Cricetulus griseus: one gene and its partner. The protein of the gene in region 2 interacts with the protein of the main gene of each other region in a pairwise test. Links are inferred from orthologs where the notes say so. Each region holds a gene or a part of one and is shown on either strand. Other genes may lie near its edges.

Region 1 (10,532 bases), on a different chromosome or scaffold from region 2:
ATCTGTATAACAAAATGTTTGCCAGAGGATGGGCAGGACAAAGCAACACCCCACACCTCCATCTCATAACAAAGTATGTGCGGGGTTACAAAGATAGCCTTGGCAATGCACTCTGAAAGTCTGTTGTCACCTGTTCTCACTGTCAAGTGAGCCCAGAGGTTCACAACTAAGATACTAAAAAAGCCAAACAGAAGCAAGGTCTAACACAGCATGGGAAGATTCCATCCATTTCTATCAGTTGCTTCTTCCACAGATCAAGGTTGGGTACGAAGCATGGATAGGAGGCACTGACTTAATTAACTCCCTGTAATCCTTAATCATTCTCTCTGAGCCATTATATTTCCATATGCTGGAGCTCTTCCATGAGCCTCCCTAAACTCACTGGGCCTGGCTTAACTTTCTCATACCTACTCAGGGCCAAGTGAAGGCCATGCTCTGCCAGCTGCTCTTGCTAGCTCCATAGGACAGAGTTGCCTGGGTTGGCACTGTGGATGCTGCTGTAGCTGTTGACTTTCCATACACCACACCTGGCTGTTGGGGAACTTCCTGACTGGGCAAACCATCTCTACCCCTAGTATAACCTTTTGCTGGGGGAAACTGTACTCTCCTTAGTGTGTGTGTGGGGGGGAGGTTGTTACTCAGCCTTGGGACAGTCTTGATCATTGTCACCTATATTGTTCCATCATAGTGTGCTCCTCAGGCTTTACAGCCATCCAGAAGTCCCTCAGCACACGTTTTCCTTAAGAACTCCAGCTTGACACAAATCTTACCACATTTTCTGAGTAATGCAGCCAGCCCTTTCCCCCCACCTTGCTCTTCTACTGCCTCCTCTATATTGCTGTCTCACTTTACAAATTCTCTTACACACTAGTCTAAGTCACTGGGGTCTGTCAAAGCCTGTTCTACTTTATGAAGATCTTGCCCCACCAAAGGGCTCAGCAAAGCCACTAGAGGTCCAAACCAGCCTCAAGGTCCCTGCTGGGTCAGCCTTTTAACTCCTCTGTGAACACAGTTCTATCTAGCCCAGGAACCTGGGTTCCAACATGACTTCTCTTATTCCTAGTGACCTCAATAGTGTCTGCCCTTCCTCTATGGTCCTCCAGCCCCTGATATTTGTGGAGACTTCAGAGCAAGATAACCAAGTGCTCCTAATGATTCTGATAAGTCAGTCCATCAGGGACTCATTTCCTGCACACTGTGGCAGGTCATACAGCCTTGGCCTTAAGGAGGGATGGGAAGTTATATCACTCAATCTTCCTGCCTCAACTGATCCCACCCACTCCCATGTCCCATAACTTCTCAAGCCAGCTTGAGACAGGCTCTTCCACTGCTTGTTCAGAAGTCTTCTCTAATTCCAGAAGCTCAAGGATCGAGTATTTCTTGCTCACACTAGTTTCTTGCATTGGACCATGGTTAACGCCCTGCATGCTGGATTACACACAGATTTCCCCTCGTTTTCTATAAAAGGTTGGGCTTGAAGGGAATCTTTCATTGCTTTTATCACTTTTATCTCATCCTCTTGTTTATCTAATTTAGTTGCCAAATCTGAGGCTAACAGGAAGGATGGTAGCCACACCTCCCTTTCTTATTGCATTTGCAATAAGATTATTACACAAACCAGCTCCTGCTTGGCCACTGTCTCCCCTTCAGACACATTTCTAACTACATATACAACCTCTGCCACTGCTTACCGACAGTCTCGACTCTTGGATGCTAATCTCAAAGACTACAATATTTCCCCCTAACCTTTAACTTTCTCAGGGCACCTCCATATTCACGTGGTGGACCCCGGCTCATCAAGCAGGCATGCCACCCACACCACACAGGCGAATGCTGCAATTCCTCCCACAGACACTCCTAATCCTGATGGCTCAGCCTTAGCTGCATGTCTCACTATCCAGAGCAAGAACTATGCAACCGCTGTCATAGCACAGAGGCACACTAACACACAGAGGAAAGGATGACTCTATGGGAATTTTCCTGGCGAACGCTCCCCCATCAGGCTTCTCAGCCTCAGCTGTGTGCCTGACTACCCATAGCCAGAACCACACAGTCACTCCTCTCCAAATCATATTCGTTTCCGACATGTCCATGTTCAGGTGTCAATTACATTGTGTGACAAAACTTTTCCTAGGGAGACACAATACACAAGGCTACTTACCAAGCAGGTATCCCAAGCAGACCAAAGAACAGATACCACCGAAGCCCAACTTGGCAAATGAATGAGTTTTATTGTGGTTACTTACAGGATTATGGATGTGGGGTTACGTACAGGAGCAGAAAAAACTCAAAGATAGCTGTGTCACCAAAGTCTACCCTACATGGATGACAGCTCACAAAGCTGGGAAGCTGGAGCACACTGCACAGTTAGCTCAAGGGGTTGTAGAGTGTCCTCTCCAGGTGCCTCAGTTGGTCTAAACCTTTTCCAGGCAGATTTGACTTACGATTTCTGTTTCTTCCAGACAACTGGCTGGTCTGAGTTATCTTGCAGCTCAGCTCCTTTGACACTCTTCCTGGGAGCTCAGCATAAGAGTCTCAGCTCTTATTGTTTACTCTGGCAGGGAGGGGCCAAGTGAGTCTGGTCAGTTTCAGGGACTTCCTGAAGCTATTTCCAGTCGTTTCCCAGACTCTACCAGAGGAAATGTTTCAATCTTGGAGGAAACTGTTAACAGCAAAGCCTCAGGCCAAAAAGGCCAACCCAAGGGTAGCCAAGGGGTGGCTTTGTGTCTCTGTCCCTGCTTAAATGGGTGGTGACTAGGGGGACCCATTTGGGAGTGAGAATCCATCCTGAAGGATCCTGCTTTGTGCCCATTCTACAAGCTGCCAACCAGGAACCACGTGGTCAAGAATCCCTTCTGCATTCAGAGGTTTCCTCAGGAGGCTCCCAAACTCCAGAGCTCACTCCCATAGTCACAATCTTCTCTCCCCCTGCCTGAAATCCTTCTTGACAGGCCCTACTCTCTGGCAACCCCACAGCCCCTTTTTCTCCTGCTTCTAGCCAACCCTAGAATCTGTGGTTTACCTCAAAATCCCAGAATCAGTTCTGTTCTTTCCCATACTCAACAGTATATCCATTTGTAGACAAAGGAACCAAGGCACAACAGTGGCCAGGAATGAGGGGGCCTCAGGCTGACTTCCCCCCGCCCTAGCAGCTCTTTTCCAGCAGCTTTGGAAAGAAGGCGATCCTCTGCTCCCTCTTTTTATTTTTCCACAAGTCTTTTTGAAAATACATTCTAAAATATTTGCCAGTGTAGGAGAAATACATTTATTCAGACAGGAATGGAAAAAAAAATGCTGTTAGCAGTTTTTCCATGGAGGCTTCCAGCCCACAGCAGTCTCTCTATAAATACTCCTACCCCAACCTGCCTCAATTATCTACTCTATTATAATAATGAAATAAAGCAGATAGAAAAATGTGAAATGCTAACACTCTTGGACAGCTTGAAGAGACTGGCTGAGATGGCAGAGGTGGATAAGATCCAATTGGCATGTGATAGACACACAGGTCGCTAAGAGATGAACAGCTATGGAGGAACCTTGGACAAAGAGGGCACCCTCTGGATACAAATAGTACCCCCTGGACATGGAGGGGTACCCCCTGGACACGGAGGGTACTCCCTGGACACGGAGGGTACCCCCTGGACACAAAAGGCACTCAGACTTAGCTCTCCTTGCTCTTCCTCAGGAGCAGGACTCTCTGGCCCACCAGCTTCCAGCTTTCTCCAGATGTGGGACTTCAAAGGAGTGACTAGCCTGCTCTGAGCTCCTGTTTCCTCCTTGGAGACACAAGCATGGTAACATACCTGCTCCATAGCACCATCATGAAGACAGTGCCTTTGATAGCAGACATGAAGGTAGCAGGCAGTGACAAATCTACCATTTCCATTCAGGGAGACCTGAGGAAAAGCCAGGTCTATGATTCTTGCCTTGGAGCTGTTCCTGCAAAGTGCCTGGCCTAACTCAATCCAGTTGATGTTTATTTGAGGGAAAGGGCAATGTGACCTCTTACTGTTATAATAGATACCCCACAAACAGCCCCACTGTGGTTCCTTTAACTGCCTTCCTCAGCTAGTCAGTGGCCACGCAGCCCACCACAGCCTGGTTTTCTAATTCTCAGAGAGTACTCTCTACTCACCGTGGTGTCCCTCATTCTTGCCATCGCCTTTCTGCCATTTCCCAGCTGCTCCTGTAGACTGGAGAGCCAAGAAGCAGGTGGACCACTCACTGGTTTGTAAGGTTTGACCTCCTGGAGCAGGTAAGGACGAGCACAGTCTTCACCAGTACTGACCTACATTCTAGAGAGTTCCCAAGACAGGAAGGCAAAGCCCTGCAACCAAGAGCTGATTCTACTGTACAGTATAGGTAGGAGCTCCAGATGACATGGCGCTAAGGAGTGAGTAGGGGCTCAATCCCAGGGCCACCCTGGAGGAAGAGAATGTGGGGTACAGTATGAAAAAGACAGAATAGAAATGGAGAAAGAACCACCCCATGGAGGTTAGGCTGTCACAAATTTCAAGGTATGAGACAGGGATAGGATGACAGTCCCAAGGGTGGAAAAACAATAAGCCATGGTGAGCCACAAGGAACAAGGCCATCTACCACATCTGATGGCCTGGATTCAGCTGCCCAGAGCTGGGGAGTCAGCACCTCACTTCCTCCCTGCCTGATGGAGAGGATGTAGAGGGGTTAACTAATCTGCTGGGCCCAAAAGGGACTCCCCTGCCTAGGTCTCACCCAGAATTCGCCAGGGACTGGAAAGGGGATTTCCCTTTACAGGGCCCTTCCTCAGCCTTAGGATCAAGAACTACTTGGCTGGGGTGCCCCCACCTCTTCCCAGGTTTAAGCATACACTCAAGGACAAAAAAAAAAAAAAAAAAATGGGGACACATAGAGAGGGTTTCCCAGGGGCTATCCCTGGGTTCAAGAAGACCACTGGCAGGCAGATCTCTGTGAGTAAAAGGCCAGCCTTATCTACAGAGTGAGTTTCAGGACAGCCAGGGCTACACAGTGAAACCCTGTGTCGAAAAACAAAACAAAAAATAAAGTAAAATATTTTTTTAAAAAGCCGTAAAAAAAGAAGCAGTAGCACTGGAATAGGATGGGACCAAAGAGCATCTTCCTTTCAGGCGCTTCATCAAGTGTTTCCACATTTGTTGTCCTTTTGTTGTTGTTGTTGTTGCCACTGAGTATCATCTGGGCCAACATGAGAAAGTGGCCCAGGTCACCAGGCCGGAAATGGAGGAAGTTAACGCAAGATTTCCCACAAATCAAAGCCAGGGCTCTTGATTAAAAACACACCAGAATCCTCTGCAACCTTAGGAGTTTCAAAATCAAACTCCCTCCCGTCAAGCAAAGGTTGCAGAGCTGCATAACTGACAACGTGAGAAGTCCGTAATTGCACTACCAGAGGAGCAGGAGCTCGGTCATCCTCCGGTGTCAGGTTCCAGATTTGTCACCTCGCCCGAGACCGGATCTGGTCCGAGCCCTCCTCCCCGGGACCCGCTACCGGAACACCGAGCCGGAAGGAACGTGGCGGTCCCCGTGGCAGCGCCTAGCCGGGGTAAGGCCATGCCCCCCATCCGTCCGCACCAGGCCAGGCGAGCCGGGCGCGGCCGGGGAAGCCGCTACGTCACCACGCTGTCCGCTGGGAGCCCGCCGGGCCAGCCAGGATTCCATTACATCACCCAAGCCGCGCTGTAAACACCGCTGCCAGCCATTGGCTGCCGCGCCACCCTCCCAGCCAATAGCAAATCGTCGTCGAGCCAACGCTTCCTTTGGCTACAGTGTCTGCAAATAGACGTCATTGCCCGGGTGGGGGTGGCCTGGCCCGGGGATAAGGCGGGTGGGTGAGGGTGTGTGGAAATTTGCAGCTGGGTTGGTTTGGAGACTTGGCATCCAAATCTGTTCCAGCCACTCCCGAGAGGCACGGAGTGCGATTAAAGGTGAATGCCCTCAATTCTTAGGCCCTTTTCCGTTAGACCCAAACAAGCCCTGGTGCAAAAATGAAGTTAATTGCTGGGCGTGGTAGCACAAACAAGTCTGTGATAATCAGCATTTGAGAGCTGGCCAGCCTGAGCTTACAAGAAACCCTGCCTCGAAGAAAAGCAAAACAGAAGGGCTGGAGAAACGGCTCAGCTGTCGAAAGCGCTGGCTGCTCTTGAAGAGGACATGGGTTTTGGGTCCTCACAACCCTTCTGGATTCCAGTCCACGAGCTCCAACGCCCTCTTGAACCTCAGGCATGTACGTGGTGCACATACATATATAAGCAGGCAAAACTCTCACACATATAAAATAAGATTTTAAAGTTTGTATTTTTTTTAAAGCAAAACAGCCAAAAGTACCACAACTTGGAAGAAGGGAGAAGAAAGAAATGAGAGATGACGAGGTACAGAAAGGTGGAACATGCTTCCGGGAATGCTCAGGGCAAAGCCCTGTGAGAAGACACCACAGAGAACAAAAAAGAGACTCTTTTCCACCCAGGATGTAGTCAGAGCTCAGTTTAGGAGCCTGGTGTCCAACAATTTTGTAAGTAGCCAATGAGTGTCGTTTTATCGCTCAGGCTTCTCCAGAAAAGCAGATGCCGTAGCACATAATCAGCTATCAGTAGCCTCATAGTCCCAGAGGTGGGAAAACAAGATAAAACTACACCTGTTATACAGAGGTTTTTTCCCCCTGTCACTATACCCTAAATAATTGAGTATTACAATAATTCACATAATACTTATCACACTAGACATTATCAGTTCGCGGAGCTTTAAAGTATAAAGAAGAGCCAGGTGTGGTGTTTTGTAATCCCAGCTCTCGGGAGGCAGGGAAAAGAGGATCTTGAATATGAAGCCAACCTGGGCCATACAGTAAGACTGTCTTAAACCCTAAATAATTATAGGGGAGAATGTGTATGTGGTACATGCGAATGTCACACTCTTTTACATAAGGAATTTAACCCCTCATATCCTGGCATCCTGGGGGAGTCCTAGGATATCCCCAATGGATAGCAGGGAATCTCTGACTATAGAAATGTAGAGAAATGTCTCGGGAAATTGGGGAACCAAGAATGCCCAAATCTGCTGTATGCACACAGGAAGCCTAGGGAAGCCAGAACAGAGAACAGAGAACATCCCAGTGTGAGTGGAGGACCAGGAGCTTCCTGTGGAACGTGAATGCCTGAGCTCACGATGAGAGTGAGCTCCTGTTCCCCTGCACATTTCTGCTCTGTTCAGGCTCTCCGTGGATCAAGTATCTGCTTGCTGAATGCTATCTTTTTAAATCTTTTATTTATTGTTTATAGTGTGTGCATGTATATGGTGTGTATGGGAGGAAGAGGGAGGTAAGGAGGGAAAGTTCAGGCATGTGCATGTCACAGTACAAGTGGAGGTCAGAGGACAACTTTAAAGAGTCCGTCGCTTCTCGCTTCATCCACATGTTGAGACAGGATCTCTCTTGCTTCTGCCACTATACAGCATACTCCAGTCTAGCTAGTTGGAAGGCTTCTGGCTGCTGCTCCTGTTTCTACCTCACATCTTGCTGTGGGGTGCTGGGGTTACAGATGTGTGCTACCCGTCCATCTTTTTACATTGATTCCAGGAATTGGACTCAGGTCCCAGACTTGTGTGGTCACACCTTCACTGGCTGAGCCATCTCACCAGCCCACTGAAGGCAATTTTGACCCAGTCTAACCATTCAAATGCTGTTACCTTCCAAAAACATCCTCTTGCACACCCAGAAATAATGTTTCACTAGCTATCTGGCAATGCCTTAGCCTCTGATCAGGTTTGTAGTTGGATTTTTTTTCTGCTTCACCCCATCCCACTGGACTTGTTTCTCTCCTGCCCTCTGGGTCCCCAAATCCACTTATGAAGAAATACTCTGAGGCTTACTTAATATTAAATATAATTGTTTGGCCAATGGCTCAGACATATTACTGGCTAGCTCTCTCTTATAAATTAACCCATTTCTATTAATCTGTGTATGACCACAAAGCTGTGGCTTACTGGTAATGTTCTGGCATATTATTCCTACAGTGGCTACATGGCATCTCCCTGACTCTGCCATCTTTTTCTCCATAACTCTGTTTGGATTTCCCGCCTAGCTATATTTTTCCTGGCCATTGGTCAAATCAGCTTTATTTATCAACGCATATTTGCAGCATACAGAAGGACCTCCCATATCACAGGTTGGCACATTAAAACTAACTATGGCAATAATAAAAAAAGAAAATATGGGAGGTCAAGTTATTTAACTGCAAGTTATTATTTAGAGAGGGATACAAAAGTGTTCCTCTAGCGAAGCAGTTGTTTGTTTGTTTGTTTCTGAGACAGAATCTCTATGTAGCCTTGGCTGGCCTCAGTCTCACAGAGAGCCACCTGCTTCTGCCTTCCAAGTGCTGGGATTAAAGGTCACCATGTCCAGCCTGAAGCAATTTTTAAACAGAGGGGACTTTGTCTGATTCCAACCAGAGGAAACAGGACATGGGAAAGCCAGAGGCGGGACAGATTCTAGTTCCTTAAAGACACTGAATAAGCCAAATGACCAGAGCATGGTGGAAAGAGAGGGAAATAGTGAGAGAGCTACCCAGGGAGGAAATCCTGCTGGACCATGCAGGATTGTGCCAGGTGCAGTACTGACAGCTTTCCTTGCTTTCTATCTTTCACTGGCACTATAAGGTGAGCACTGCTTTGGTATTTAAGAAACCATGGCCCCAAAAGGCTGTCACACCCTGAGAAGTAACAGGGCAGGGTTCACATACGAGCCCCTGGGGCCTCACAGGCAACTGTGGCTGCTGTTGCCTCCTAGAGAGGAAGCTGAGTCGGTTACTTCTGACTTCCATGTCTTACTACAGAGCTGGGGCCAAAAAGAAAAAAAAAGTAATACTTGCTCTATAGGTGTCACCATGTTATAAAAACAAGACCTCTGGATGATTGCAGAGGAAGTTCAGTCATTAAGAGCACTGGCTGTTCTTCCAAAGGACCAAGGTTCAATTCCCGCACCTGCATGGCAGCTCATGACTGTGTGTACATTCAATTCCAAAGAATTCAGCAGCCTCTGCATAAATTGCATGTACACACATCCAGACTGTCTTAGTTAGAGTTTCTATTGCTGTGAGGAAACACTGTGATCAAAAGCAACTTGGGGAGGAACCTAGAAGCGGGAGTTGAAGGAGAGGCCGTGGAGAAGTGGTGCTTACTGGATTGCTCCTCATGGCTTACTCATCCTGCTTTTTTATGGAACTCAGAACTACCCCCACCAGGGGTGGCATCTCCCACAAAACACTGCCCTCCCCCATCTATCACTAATTAAGAAAATGTGCCACAGGCTTGCCTATAGACCAATCTGGTAGGAGTATTTTCTCAATTAAGGTTTCTTCTTCCCAAATGACTCTAGCCTGTGTCAAGTTGACATAAAAACTAGCCACCACCTCAGGCGCAAAACACCCCCACACCCCCACACACATACACTTTTTTTTTTTTTTTAAGGAAACAGAAAAAAGAGACATGGGGGAAAGAGTGTCTAGTTCAGACGACACTGGGGTAGAAACGATTCATGGCTCTGACCAGCAAGGGGCACTCTGGAGGCTGTGGGAAGACTGACCTGCTGGCAAAGGTGATTAACTGGATCTCTGTGCTGTCCTGGGTTGCCAAGAAATGGTGTTCCTACTGCTCTGAGCCGTGGAGCCAGCTCTGGTTACTGCTGACAGGCCCCTCAGGAGAGTGCCAGAGGCCTACATCCTTCCACGTCCTTCCCGTGCAGGCAGTGTGGTGGTTCCCCTTAGGGAACCTGTGGGGCCGTGTCAGTACACTGAAAATCCAGGACCTCTAAACTCCCAAGGAAGGTACAGACTACTGAACAGTTCTGAGCAGGAACAGGGTCTGGGAGTGGGCGGATGCAGGAGATGGGAGAGAGGCCTGCCCTCTCCCTGAGGAGCTATACCCCCAGCCTTATTTATTTATTCTGTGGCCCTGGGGGTTAAATCCAGGGTTGCTCACATTCTAGCCTATTGCTCTACCTCTCAGCTATATCCCCAGTCTCTTTCTTTATTTTCCATTTGGGAATGGAGTCTATACTGGTTCTGGAGACTGGTATAGAACTTTCTCTGCAGCCCAGGCCAGCCTTAGATTCCAATGCCCCTGCCTTAGCTTCATGAGTAACTGGGATATATCACCAGGCCTGGAAGATACTAAAAGAATCAGATATGGGTGATCATAATCATGGTTTTTTGGTACTGGGAATGAAATCCAACTCACCTTGAACATAATAAGACCTGGTGGTCTTTAATAAAAAGTCCAGCCATGGATCGCTAAGGGAAAAGGCTTAGTGACTGGTCCCCTGAGGCTGTGTTTGGCTCTACCCTCTCCAGTGGGCATAAGAGTGTGTGGGTACCTCCTTGTGTCTGAGGAGGGGTCAGCACAGCAGTGACACAGTGGTCTATGGTGAATGGCATGGAACAGCTCTGGGATTCTGCAGCCTAAGCCTCTGCCTGCCCCTACTAGGATAGAGATCTCTTCACCCGGTTTCTTAGGCTCCCCTTCCTCTT
Region 2 (10,710 bases):
TGGAGCCAGGTGCTGGTGGCACAGGCCTTTAATCCCAGCACTTGGCAGGCAGAGTCAGGTGGATCTCTGTGAGTTCGAAGCCGGCCTGGTCTAAAGAGTTCCAGGACAGACTCCAAAGCTACACAGAGAAACCCTGTCTCGAAAAAACAAAACAAAAAAAGAATGTTAAACTGGGGGCTGGTAAGATGGCTCAAAGGTTAAGAATACTAGCAGTTCTTCCAGAGGACCTGGTCCAATTCCCAGCACCTACAGGGCAGCTCACAACTGTTTATAGCTCCAATTCTAGGGGATCTGGCACCATTACACAGGTATACATGTAGGCAAAAAACCAATGCACATAAAATTTTTAAAACGTTAAGAAAATAAAATTAAGAATGCCAAAAAGAGCCGGGCAGTGGTGCTGCACACTTTTAATCCCAGCACTCGGGAGGCAGAGGCAGGTGGATCTCTGTGAGCCTAAGACCAGCCTGGTCTACAACACTAGTTCCAGGAAGCCAAGGCTACACAGAGAAACCATCTCAAAACAAACAAACAAAAAAACCCACCACCACCAAAACCCCCTGAAACATCTTCATGGTGGTTTGAGAGCAGGAGGCTGCCGGGTGGGGATGAGGCCGCCTTACCCTTCTTTCTCTAAGATGACCTTCCTCTCATAGTCCTTCAGGTACATGGGCTGCATTTTCTTCTGCTTCTCTGAGGCTGCTGGCTCCTCCTCACTCTCAGAAGACGAAGTTTCAGCTGTGGGACAGTGAGAAGATACCTGCTGCCCCCAACTTCCCTCTTCCGCTGGCAGAGAATCCCACAGGCAGGATGGGAGCAGAAGTTAAATTCTAAACCCTTGCCAGCTACTTCGAGCTGTAAAACAGTAAATCATCCTACTCTACCCTTTATTTTTCCAGGGACACAGTATAATATAGCCCAGGCTAGACTAAACCTCAGTCAAGCAATCAAAGTCTTTAGGTACAGATATAGCTAAACTGACAGTGTTTGCCTAGCAAGCCCAAGACTCTTTGTTTAGTTTCAGTTATGTGACACACACTTGTAATCCCAGCATTTTGGAGGGTGGAGGCAGGGAGATCAGAAGTTCACATTCTTGGCTACATAGTAAATTAGAGGCTAGTTCTAGGCCACATGAGAAGCTATCTCAAAAAAATAAAATAAAAAAGCATTTCTGACCTGGTATTTTAAACTTAGGAATTCACAGAAATCACAGAGAGGGCTTCTTTTTTGTTTTGTTTTGTTTTGTTTTTCAAGACAGGGTTTCTCTGTAGCTTTGGAGGCTGTCCTGAAACTAGCTCTTGTAGACCAGGCAGGTCTCAAACTCACAAAGATCTGCCTGCCTCTGCCTCCTGAGTGCTGGGATTAAAGTTGTAAGCCACCACCGCCCGGCTAGAGAGGGCTTTTTTGCTGATTTTCTTTCTTTCCTTTTTCTTTGTTTTTTGAGACAAGGCTTATCTGTGTAACTTTGGAGCCTGTCCTGGAACTTGCTCTTTAAACCAGGCTGGCCTGGAACTCACAGAGCTCTGCCTGCCTCCTGCTTCCCTAGCACTGGGATTAAAGGCAGGCAACACAATGTCCAGTTCTTGTGGATGCCAGAGGTCACCTTGCATGTGTCATTTCTCAATTGCCATCCATTCTTTTTTTCTTTTTGAATCAAGGTTCCTCTTGTGTGGCCTTGGCTGTCCTGGACTCCCTCTGTAGACCAGGTTGGCCTCAAACTCACAGAGACCCACCTGTCTCTGCCTCCTGAGTGATGGGATTATGGGCTATAGCCTACCACTCTGGTGTCTGTCACCTCACTTAGGATGGGAAACAATTCATTCAACAATTCAATTCCATTAATAATAAGGTAGAGAAGCAGCCCCCTCCCTACCTGTTCTCTGATAGAAGGTAGCATCTTTCTGGTAAATTCGGGGGTCCTTCTTCTTCAGCAAGGACAGAGTCCTGTAAAAGTCTCTCTCCTGCTGGGGATCAAATTCCTAGAGCAGGAAAAGGAGTGGGGCTGACTTCAGATGGTGGGCACAGTACGAGTAGGGGCTGGTGAGGAGGACAGGATACAACAGAGACCAGCAACCCTGAGGATTAAGTGTGTGTGTGGGGGGGACAAAGCGTGCAGATGAAGAGAAGCTCTGGGCCTGGGCAGGTGTGGCCAGAGGGCAGGAACTTGATAGGGTAAAGGAAGAGGAGCAGGGAAAGGAGGTAGGCAACTGAGCAGGTGCCCCTAGAGTGCTCTTGGGTGGACCACCAGAAGGCCCGGGCTACACATGATGAAGCCAACATTAGAGCTGCTGTGGGAAGACAGTAGTGCCCCACGTGGTCTAAGAGGCACTACAATGACAGATTCTGGATTTTAGGAATGGGAAGGGTGGTTCCTAGGGACAGAATGGTTGGACCACTAATCAGGGTAGTGGGTTCAATCTGTGCTGATGGAGGACAAGGTGTTCATAAAGCAGAGGGGTTATGACGACCCCCAGGGAAGGGCAGGGCATTGTCTGTCTCCTAAGGGATGGGGGAGGTGTCTTGGAACTTGTTATTCTTTTGTTTAAAAAGAAGAAAAGAGAAATATTGCTGAGACAGACATATAAGAAGAGTAACAGGGTAATGGCTGACTGCCATGGCCGGTCGCCATAGAGAGACAGAGCGGGGAAACAGAGAGAGGGGACAGAGAGCAGGAACAGGGGGGGAGAGAGAGAGAGCGCGAGCGTAAAGGGGCAGAGAGAGAGAGAGAGAGAGAGAGAGAGAAAGGTGCAGGGGCCTATCTTTTAAAGGGGTCCTCTGCACCTGCGTGCAGACTTCTTTCCCATGGAACCTTGGGCTGACCAGGGTATTGCCTGAGTGGATTCCACCAGGTAACAGGGGCAGGCCAGCATAATGCCTGAACCTTTCAGAACTACCTTAGGGCTCTACTGGGTTAGGGAAAGATTCCTTCTGCAAATTGGTGGGCGGTCTGGAGTCAAGTAGTGAGGATTTAGCGTCTCCTAGACATGGGGAGTGTATTGCTAGTAACTCAAGGGACTGGGGTGTGGGCCCTAATGTTCCTATAGGGGCCTACGTGATTAAGGTAAGGTGCTCTACCCTTGTGGGAAGGAGGGAGGATGCGCCAGTTCCTAGCTACAGGAGAATGCTGCTCGTTACTCAAGGGTGCAGGTCCTGGGATGTGCCTATGGGGCCCGAGGGGGTTAGGATCTGACTCTGCTGTGTATCTGAGTAAGGGTGCTGTGGAGGCTTGAGGCCAAGTTAGGAAAGTGGGAAGATTTAGCGACCACTGGGATGGAGCTGTCACTCAAGGTGTTAAGGGATAAATCTAGACCTATCCCCTTAGGGTAAGGCATCCCAGGGCACTCAGGTGAGGGGCTCAGTGGATGGGAGGCTTGAGGTCTCTGCCGGAAAGAAGGGTGCATTTTGCGATCCCTGGATTGGGGGGGATGCCTGTCATTCAAAGGATGGGGGCAGGACTTGAAGACTCCGGGACAAACTTGCCGGGTTAGGGAGCACCCCAACTACGCCTGGGTAAGATGGGGAGCCTGGTCGCGGAAGCTTACTTACCACATGCTCGTCGCTGGAGTCGGACTCGGAGCTGGAGTCGCTGCCGTCCGGATCCCCATAGCGATCCTTCACTGTGGGGTACACACGAGCTCCTCACAGCCACCCTCACCAGAGGCGCCCCCAGCCCCCCCGCCCGGCCTGCGCAGGCTCCCCTCACTCACGCCGCTGCAGCTCCTCACGCTCGCGGTAACGACTGTAGCGAGCGGCAAACGCGGCGTTCACCCGCAGGGAGGCAGACCCGTGCGGTTCCGGCATGGCGCCCGGGAGGCCTAGAGCGCACGCGCGCGCCCCTCCCGCGTGACCGCCTCTAGGCACGCCCAGCGAGAGCGTCTCTTAAAGGAGCAGGTCCCCTACGACTCGCCTGGCCCCACCCCCGACCCTTCCGGGACCCGGTTGGCCTTTTTTTGCTCGGCAGGCCGCAGCCACGGGCCAAGCCTCTGCGGGGAAAGGCCACAAGCCACCGCCCACCCTTCTCCACCCAGCCGCCTCCCGGCACCCAGCTGACATCTGGGGGCCCCTTTCTCCACTCGCGGTTTCCTGCCTCCCTTCCGTTCTGACAGCACCCGACCGCTGCCCCACCCAGCTCAGTTACCCGGACGCCCTGGGAATGACCATGTCGCCCCTTCACCCCACAGCTCCCACAACCACGCCATCCCCCAGTTTCATCCCACCCACGTCCTGGAACCAAATCAGAAGTCACCCTCACCGTCGTCATGCCTAAGTCTTAGCTTAATGAGCCAAAACATTAAATGATCACACAAAACAATTTCTTTCCATAAAGCAATAAATATATATATATTTCAAACTCTGTACAACAGACTGGAAAACAAGCTTCCAAGAAAAAAATTAACCCACACTATCTTTTTAACTGATTCGAAACGTTTTCCCCTCTCCCTCCCATGCCCAAAGTAGGTGGCTCACACTTAGGGCTCTCTGAGCACAGCCTTCCAAGGTCACCAGCTTCCAGGAGCTCAGGAGACGATGACCTCACTCTGAGGCTAGGGCTTTAAACCTCTGCCCTGAGGTCTCTGCGGCCAGGTGCAGGGAAAACTGAACCGTTTAGGCGGCTGTTGCCTGTAGGAGCCCCTGCTCTGTCCAACACACCAAACGGGGTGAGAAAAACACATGAGAAAGTCCCCCAAACACACTCACTCAAGAAACCAACACCAATAAACCACAAAATGCTCCTCCCACTCCCTTCTTCAATGGATGGGAATAAAGAGCGAAAGTTTCTTTTCTTCTCTGTTGACTTGTAACCCAGTGAGGCTCCTTGGCTGGAGACAGCGGCCCTGGGTCACATTGGGATCACCATGTGTCTCTGCAGGATGTCCATAAGGTTCTGATCTCCTCTCTGCTGGGCCAACTCCAGGGGGGTGAGACCCGAAGTGTCCCTGTGATGGAGGTCAGATTCGGGAGCCAGGAAGCTGACCACAGAGCTATGGCCCTCTTTTATTGCCAGATGGATGGGGAGTGACCCGGTGCCGTCCAGGGCATTGACATCAGCGCCATGCTCCACCAGGACCTTCAAGGTGTCCAGGAACCCAGTGCGAGCTGCATCATGCACTGGACTGGTACCAGAGGCATCTTGGACATTGGGGCTAGCACCTTGCTTTAGGAGTTCCAGAGCAACTGCTGGACTTCCAAACATCATGACCTATGGGGGTGGGGAACAGAAAGTCAGGAGGTTCCCACTGGAAAGTGGTCAAGCAGAAAGAGAGGTCTACCAGAAATCCAGAGTGCCAGTGAAGGGGCCCTTTAATGAACAGGGACACCCCAAGAGAGACAGGCCCCCAGGGAGCTGCTTGGGACCCCAGAAAACAGGTTCTTTGGAAATAAGGACCATACACACACACACACACACACACACACACACACAGAGAGAGAGAGAGAGAGAGAGAGAGAGAGAGAGAGAGAGAGAGAGAGAGAGAAAGAGAGATCATTTACCAATACAAAAGACTCTAACTCCAAAAGTGACTCTCATGAAAACTTTAAGGGGCCAGGCATAGTGACCACTCCTGTAATCCCTGCACTTGGGAGGACGAGCCAGAAAGATAGCCTCAAATTTAAGGCCAGCCTGATACAGAGTGAGACCTTGTCTCATAAATAAAAAAGTAATGAAGAAGAAAGAGAATGAAGGGAATGGGGAAAGGAAGGACAGGAAGGGAGGGTGAAAACTCTCAAGGATCCAAGAGCCTCCCTCAGGGACAGGGCACCCCCATATGGGAGATCACTAGAGCTGTTAAACCCCTCCAGACAATGCAACCTTGTTTTCTGAGAACTACTTAGAATTTTTGAGAAAAAAAAATGCTCTAGAGAATTTGGATCCCCTTTCTCTAGGGAAAAAATTTTTTTGTGTGTTTTTTTGTTTTTTTATTTATTTATTTTTTTCGAGACAGGGTTTCTCTGTGGCTTTGGAGGTTGTCCTGGAACTAGCTCTTGTAGACCAGGCTGGTGTCAAACTCACAGAGATCCTCCTGCCTCTACCTCTGCCTCTGCCTCCCTAGTGTTGGGATTAAAGGAGTGTGCCACCAACACCCTGCTAGGGAAAAGTTTAGACATAGGCATGATGTTCAGAATATATGTGCACCCATGAAAAAGTGGGACCCTGTACAAAGTCCACCCCAAATTATGGGGCCGTCAAGCAATAGGTTTTTTTTTTTTTTTTTTTTTTTTTTGTAACTGGGGCACTCAGAAGATTAAAAAAAAAAATCCACATCACTTTCAGAAATGAAGACTTCCCCCACCCCCAAATAACCAGAGACCCTTAAAAAGGACTCCTACAAAAAATAGCTCTATCCCTTGGAGGAGCATCCTACCTTCCTGAGATCGAATGCCTTCTTAGAGGCCCTCCCAAAATTTGAGCTGTCCGCAAAGACTGGAATGAAAAGAAGCTGAACCACAACCCACCCACGGAATAAAAGTCTGCAGCAAAACTGAATCTTTTAGGCTTGAAGACAAGGGATTCTTTAGAGCTGAAAAGTCATCCTCTCCCCGTGCCCCCCCCCCGCATTACCCCACCCAACATTGGTGCAAACAAGGAATGGTCCTCAAGGGGATCACCAAGCCGGGTCAGGAGACAAGGAAGGATGGGGTGTGGGCGCCGGGTGTCAGACAGGCCTCACCTGCAAGGCCGTCTTGCCAAAGCGGTTCAGAGCGTCAGGATGCACCAGCTCCCGGTGCAGAAGGCGGCGCACCTCTTGCACGTCGCCACGGGCCGCTGCGCCACTCAGCCGGTCGCCGACGCGGACTTCTTCCAGGAGCATCGTGACGCGGGTGGTCTGTGAAACCCACCCAGCCCCAAGCCCAGTCCAGGTCAAGGCTGTGGAACCAGCAAGGGCTGGATCGGAACACGAGGGCTTCCTTTCCCTGGGGCTGTGGCGACACTGGGGCCTACTCTACGGCTACTCCCCTGCCGCAGACCCTTGGCCCTCGGTCCCGCACGACCCCGGCTCTCGCACCCGGCTCCTCCCCCTGTCACCGTGAGAGGCCGCAGGGAACCCCGCCCAACCCTTGGGCACCCGCCCCTTGGGCCGGGTCTCCCCAGACTCACCCTCCCTCCTCCGCTGGCGCAGGCGGGGTCTGCTCTGAGCCGGCGCTCGCCGCCTCCCTAGACAGCCTCCAGTGGGCGGAGCTAGCGCGCCACAGGCCCCGCCCCACAGCGCCCTTGTTTTCTTACAAACTCGCTACAGAGTAGCGGGAGCCGGTGTGCCCAGCACCCGACCTCCATGCGTCCCGCCTACCGGCGACCTCAGCCAATCATCGTGCGTTACTGGGAAGGTTTGTCTCGCCCAGAGAGGTGGTGCATCTCGTGATTGGCCAGCGGGCGGCAACCGGTGTGGCTGCCCGCCACCGCAGGGGGTTTGGTTTTTCAAACCCGACTGGCGGGCGGCCGGGCGGGAAAGAGAGGGAAGACTTAACTGATCCCGGGAGAGGGGTTGGCTGGCGCAGGCTGATCTTGGGTCTTTAGCGCCTCCAGGAGGAATGGAGGGAGGGTTGGAAGCTCCCAGAACTCGAACGTTCGTTCTATTCATTTAGCTCTCTTACTATGCAACTGGGAACTTAGTTCATTCATTCGACTGCTGGGTTAAAGGGATGGACGCTGGGCGGTCAAGTGCGCGCTGTCTAACGATTTTTGTTTGCTTTAAATTTCTGAGACAGGGTCTCACTGTGTAGCCTTGGCTGGCCTGGAACTGTGTAGATCTGTCTGGCTTCAAACTCAGATAGCCACCTGCCTCTACCATCCATGCTGGGATTAAAGGAGGGGGCTCTAGTTTTTTTATTTTTTGTTTTTAAAGAAAGGGTCTTGGAGCTGCAAGATGGCTCAGCGGCCAAGAGCATTTGACGTCCTTGTAGAGAATCAAGAATTCAGTTTCCAACATCCAGGTCACAGCTCTCAGTTATACATAACTCCAGCTCCAAGGGATCCAACGCTCTTGACATCTGCACATATTACATAATAGACAAACACCCACATATTCACATGATTTTCTTTTTTTAAGTGTTTTGAGATAGGATCTTACTATGTAACTCTGGCTGTCTTAGAACTCACTATGTAGACCAGGCTGGCCTTGAACACAAACAGATCTGCCTGACTTTCCTAAATGCAGGGGATTGACGGTGTGTACCAGTACACCTGGCAATTCTTTTCTTTCTTTCTTTCTTTCTTTCTTTCTTTCTTTCTTTCTTTCTTATGTGCATTGGTGTTTTGCCTTCATGTATAGCTGTGTGAAGATGTTGGATCTCCTCAAACTGGAGTTACAGACAGTTGTGAGCTGCTACGTGGGTGCTGGGAATTAAAACCACATCTTTTGGAAGAGCAGCCAATTCTCTTAACCGCTGAGCCATCTCTCCAGCTCTGCAATTTTCTTTTAATTTTTTAAAAAGGGTATCACGTAGCCCAGGCTGGCCTCCAATTCCTTATGTAGCTAAGGATTATACACAAGCCTCCTGAATGCCACTCCCAAGTGCTATTACAGACTCAGTCCATGCAGTGCTGGGGGTGGAACCCAGGGCTTCATGGGTGCTCAGCAATGACTAACTGATCTATAGTCACAGCCCCTTAACAATTTTTATTGAGAGCCGGGCGTTGGTGACGCACGCCTTTAATCCCAGCACTAGGGAGGCAGAGGCAGGCGGATCTCTGTGAGTTCAAGGCCATCCTGGTCTCCAGAGGAATGCCAGGATAGGCTCCAAAGCTACACAGAGAAACCCTGTCTCAAAAAATAAACAAACAAACAAAAAAAAACCCAATTTTTATTGAGACAAGTTCTCAGCGTAAGCTGGCCTCAAAGTTACTAAATCTAGATTAACCTCAAACTCCTAATCCTGCCTTTACCTCTTGATTGCTGGATTACAGGTATATACCACCATGCCTGGCTTAATTTTGGACATTAAGCACCACACACTGAAATAGACTAAAGTTAGAAACTGTAGCTGGGCGTGGTGTTGTTCTCCTTTAATCACAGCATTTGGGAGGCAGAGACAGGAGGATCTGTTAGTTCAAGGCCAGCCTGATCTACAGAGCAAGTTCCAGGACAGCAGGACAGGCTCCAAAGCTACAGAGAAACCCTTTCTTGGAAAAAAAAAGAAGATAATTTAAAAGAAGAAAAAAAAAGCATAGGTGGTGAGAAAAGAACCTAGAAAAGTTCTAGCTCAGGTTAAGCAGTCCATTGCAGCTGGGCATTGGTGTTGCAGACCTTTAATCCCAGCACTCAGGAGGCAGAGGCAAGCGGATCTCTGTGAGTTTGAGGCCAGGCTGGTCTACAATTCAAGTTCTACAACAGCCGGGACTATTACACAGAGAAACCCTGTCTCAAAAACAAAAAACAAAACAAAACAAACAAACAAAAAAAACAAAAAAAAAACAAAAAACAAATCAAAAGTATTATACAATAGTAACCAGGCTGACTGAAGGGTCACTGCATTTGTGTAAAGGCCCTCAGGGTCAAAAGCATCTGGAATGATGTGGAAAAGTTAAGAGGAAGAGCAGGAAGGTGGGGAGGTGGAGTGATGTGCAGACCAAACCTGGGACTGCAGTAACTTTTTACTTTTAACTAGATGGGAAGGGCACCATTTAAGCAGGGCAATAATGTACTGACAGATTCCCCCCAACCCCAAACAGGGTTTCTCTGTGTAGCTCTTGTAGACCAGGCTGGGCTGGAACTCACAGAGATCTGCCTGCCTCTGCCTTCTGAGTGCTGGGACTAAAGGTGCCACCACCTGACAGGTTTTACAGCAACCTCCCAGTATCTACTGAGGGGATCAGAGTGACAGGGAATAAAGGGGAGGGTGCAGAGGACCTGGGGTGGAAAAAATGGACACGCCCATCTAAGCAGGTATGGTCATTCCCAGTCCATAGTCAAGAAGCACATTCACAGCTGTTAGATTTATTTTAATGACACCCTAAAACTCAGATAGAGGGCCAGCAGGGCCTTGGCTCAGCAGGTATAAAAGAGCCCTAGAGCTAGCCCAAGGCAGATCATTTCAAGAAGGCACTCATGGATGGGGAGGGCAGCTCAGACCCTCTTATTTCTTCATATAAAACCAGGATGGGAGAGCTCAAGGGTGGGGGACACAGAGAAACCAATCTAGACGGGTGAGAGGTACAGGGGGTTGTTGCAGCATGAATACACACACACACACACACACACACACACACACACACACACACACACACATCTAACCCCCACTTCTTCTCCCTTCTAGCTGGTACGAAGTTGATAATCTGCAGAAAAAAAATGAGCAGGGATTATCTGAGAATTGAGAAAGGGGAAAGAGAGAGTCCTCCAACACTCACAAAATCTATCCTGGGTCCTAACACATAAAATCACCCTTGGAAATATTTTACTATGCTTAGGGCTTACAGGCTTGGGTCATGGGGTGGCTGAATGATAGTTCCTACCTATCAGGTGTAAAGCCCTGGTTTCTATCCTATTGCCGTGCTTAGATCAAGATGGCTTCCACACAGACACCTCCCTCTGGTCAGCACGCCCATATCCAGGCAGCATATGGAGATCAGTATCCTGTTCAGACCTTATCATCACCTTGGAGCAGGCCAACCACCCCATTCTAAAGATGTATAAGCTGAAGCCCAAGGAAGCATGGTAAGGGTCTGCTTTGGGGCTAAGCATGCTTTAGTACTGTTGAAACATAGCATCAAAGTCA

Evidence for each region.
Region 1: the proteins of Cdkn2d (region 2) and Nr4a1 interact in binary tests that used the Homo sapiens proteins (3 or more experiments, as listed by UniProt). The two-hybrid records come from large-scale screens. The link is inferred for Cricetulus griseus from reciprocal best matches to the Homo sapiens genes CDKN2D and NR4A1.

Annotation. Positions count from the first base shown.
Region 1 is NC_048595.1:397,681,654-397,692,185, reverse strand, and holds the start of Nr4a1 (nuclear receptor subfamily 4 group A member 1), read right to left. Parts: upstream 5,517-10,532; 5' UTR 5,405-5,516; intron 5,267-5,404; exon of another isoform or gene 4,423-5,266; 5' UTR 4,136-4,422; intron 1-4,135. UniProt on the Homo sapiens protein: Orphan nuclear receptor. Binds the NGFI-B response element (NBRE) 5'-AAAGGTCA-3'. Binds 9-cis-retinoic acid outside of its ligand-binding (NR LBD) domain.
Region 2 is NC_048597.1:134,142,384-134,153,093, forward strand, and holds Cdkn2d (cyclin-dependent kinase 4 inhibitor D), read right to left. Parts: upstream 7,202-10,710; 5' UTR 7,097-7,201; intron 7,036-7,096; exon of another isoform or gene 6,825-7,035; 5' UTR 6,810-6,824; coding exon 6,669-6,809; intron 5,201-6,668; coding exon 4,841-5,200; 3' UTR 4,314-4,840; downstream 1-4,313. Other genes in the region: protein KRI1 homolog, read right to left, coding at 624-786, 1,874-1,979, 3,547-3,617, 3,708-3,801; Ap1m2 (AP-1 complex subunit mu-2), read right to left, coding at 10,248-10,270. UniProt on the Homo sapiens protein: Interacts strongly with CDK4 and CDK6 and inhibits them.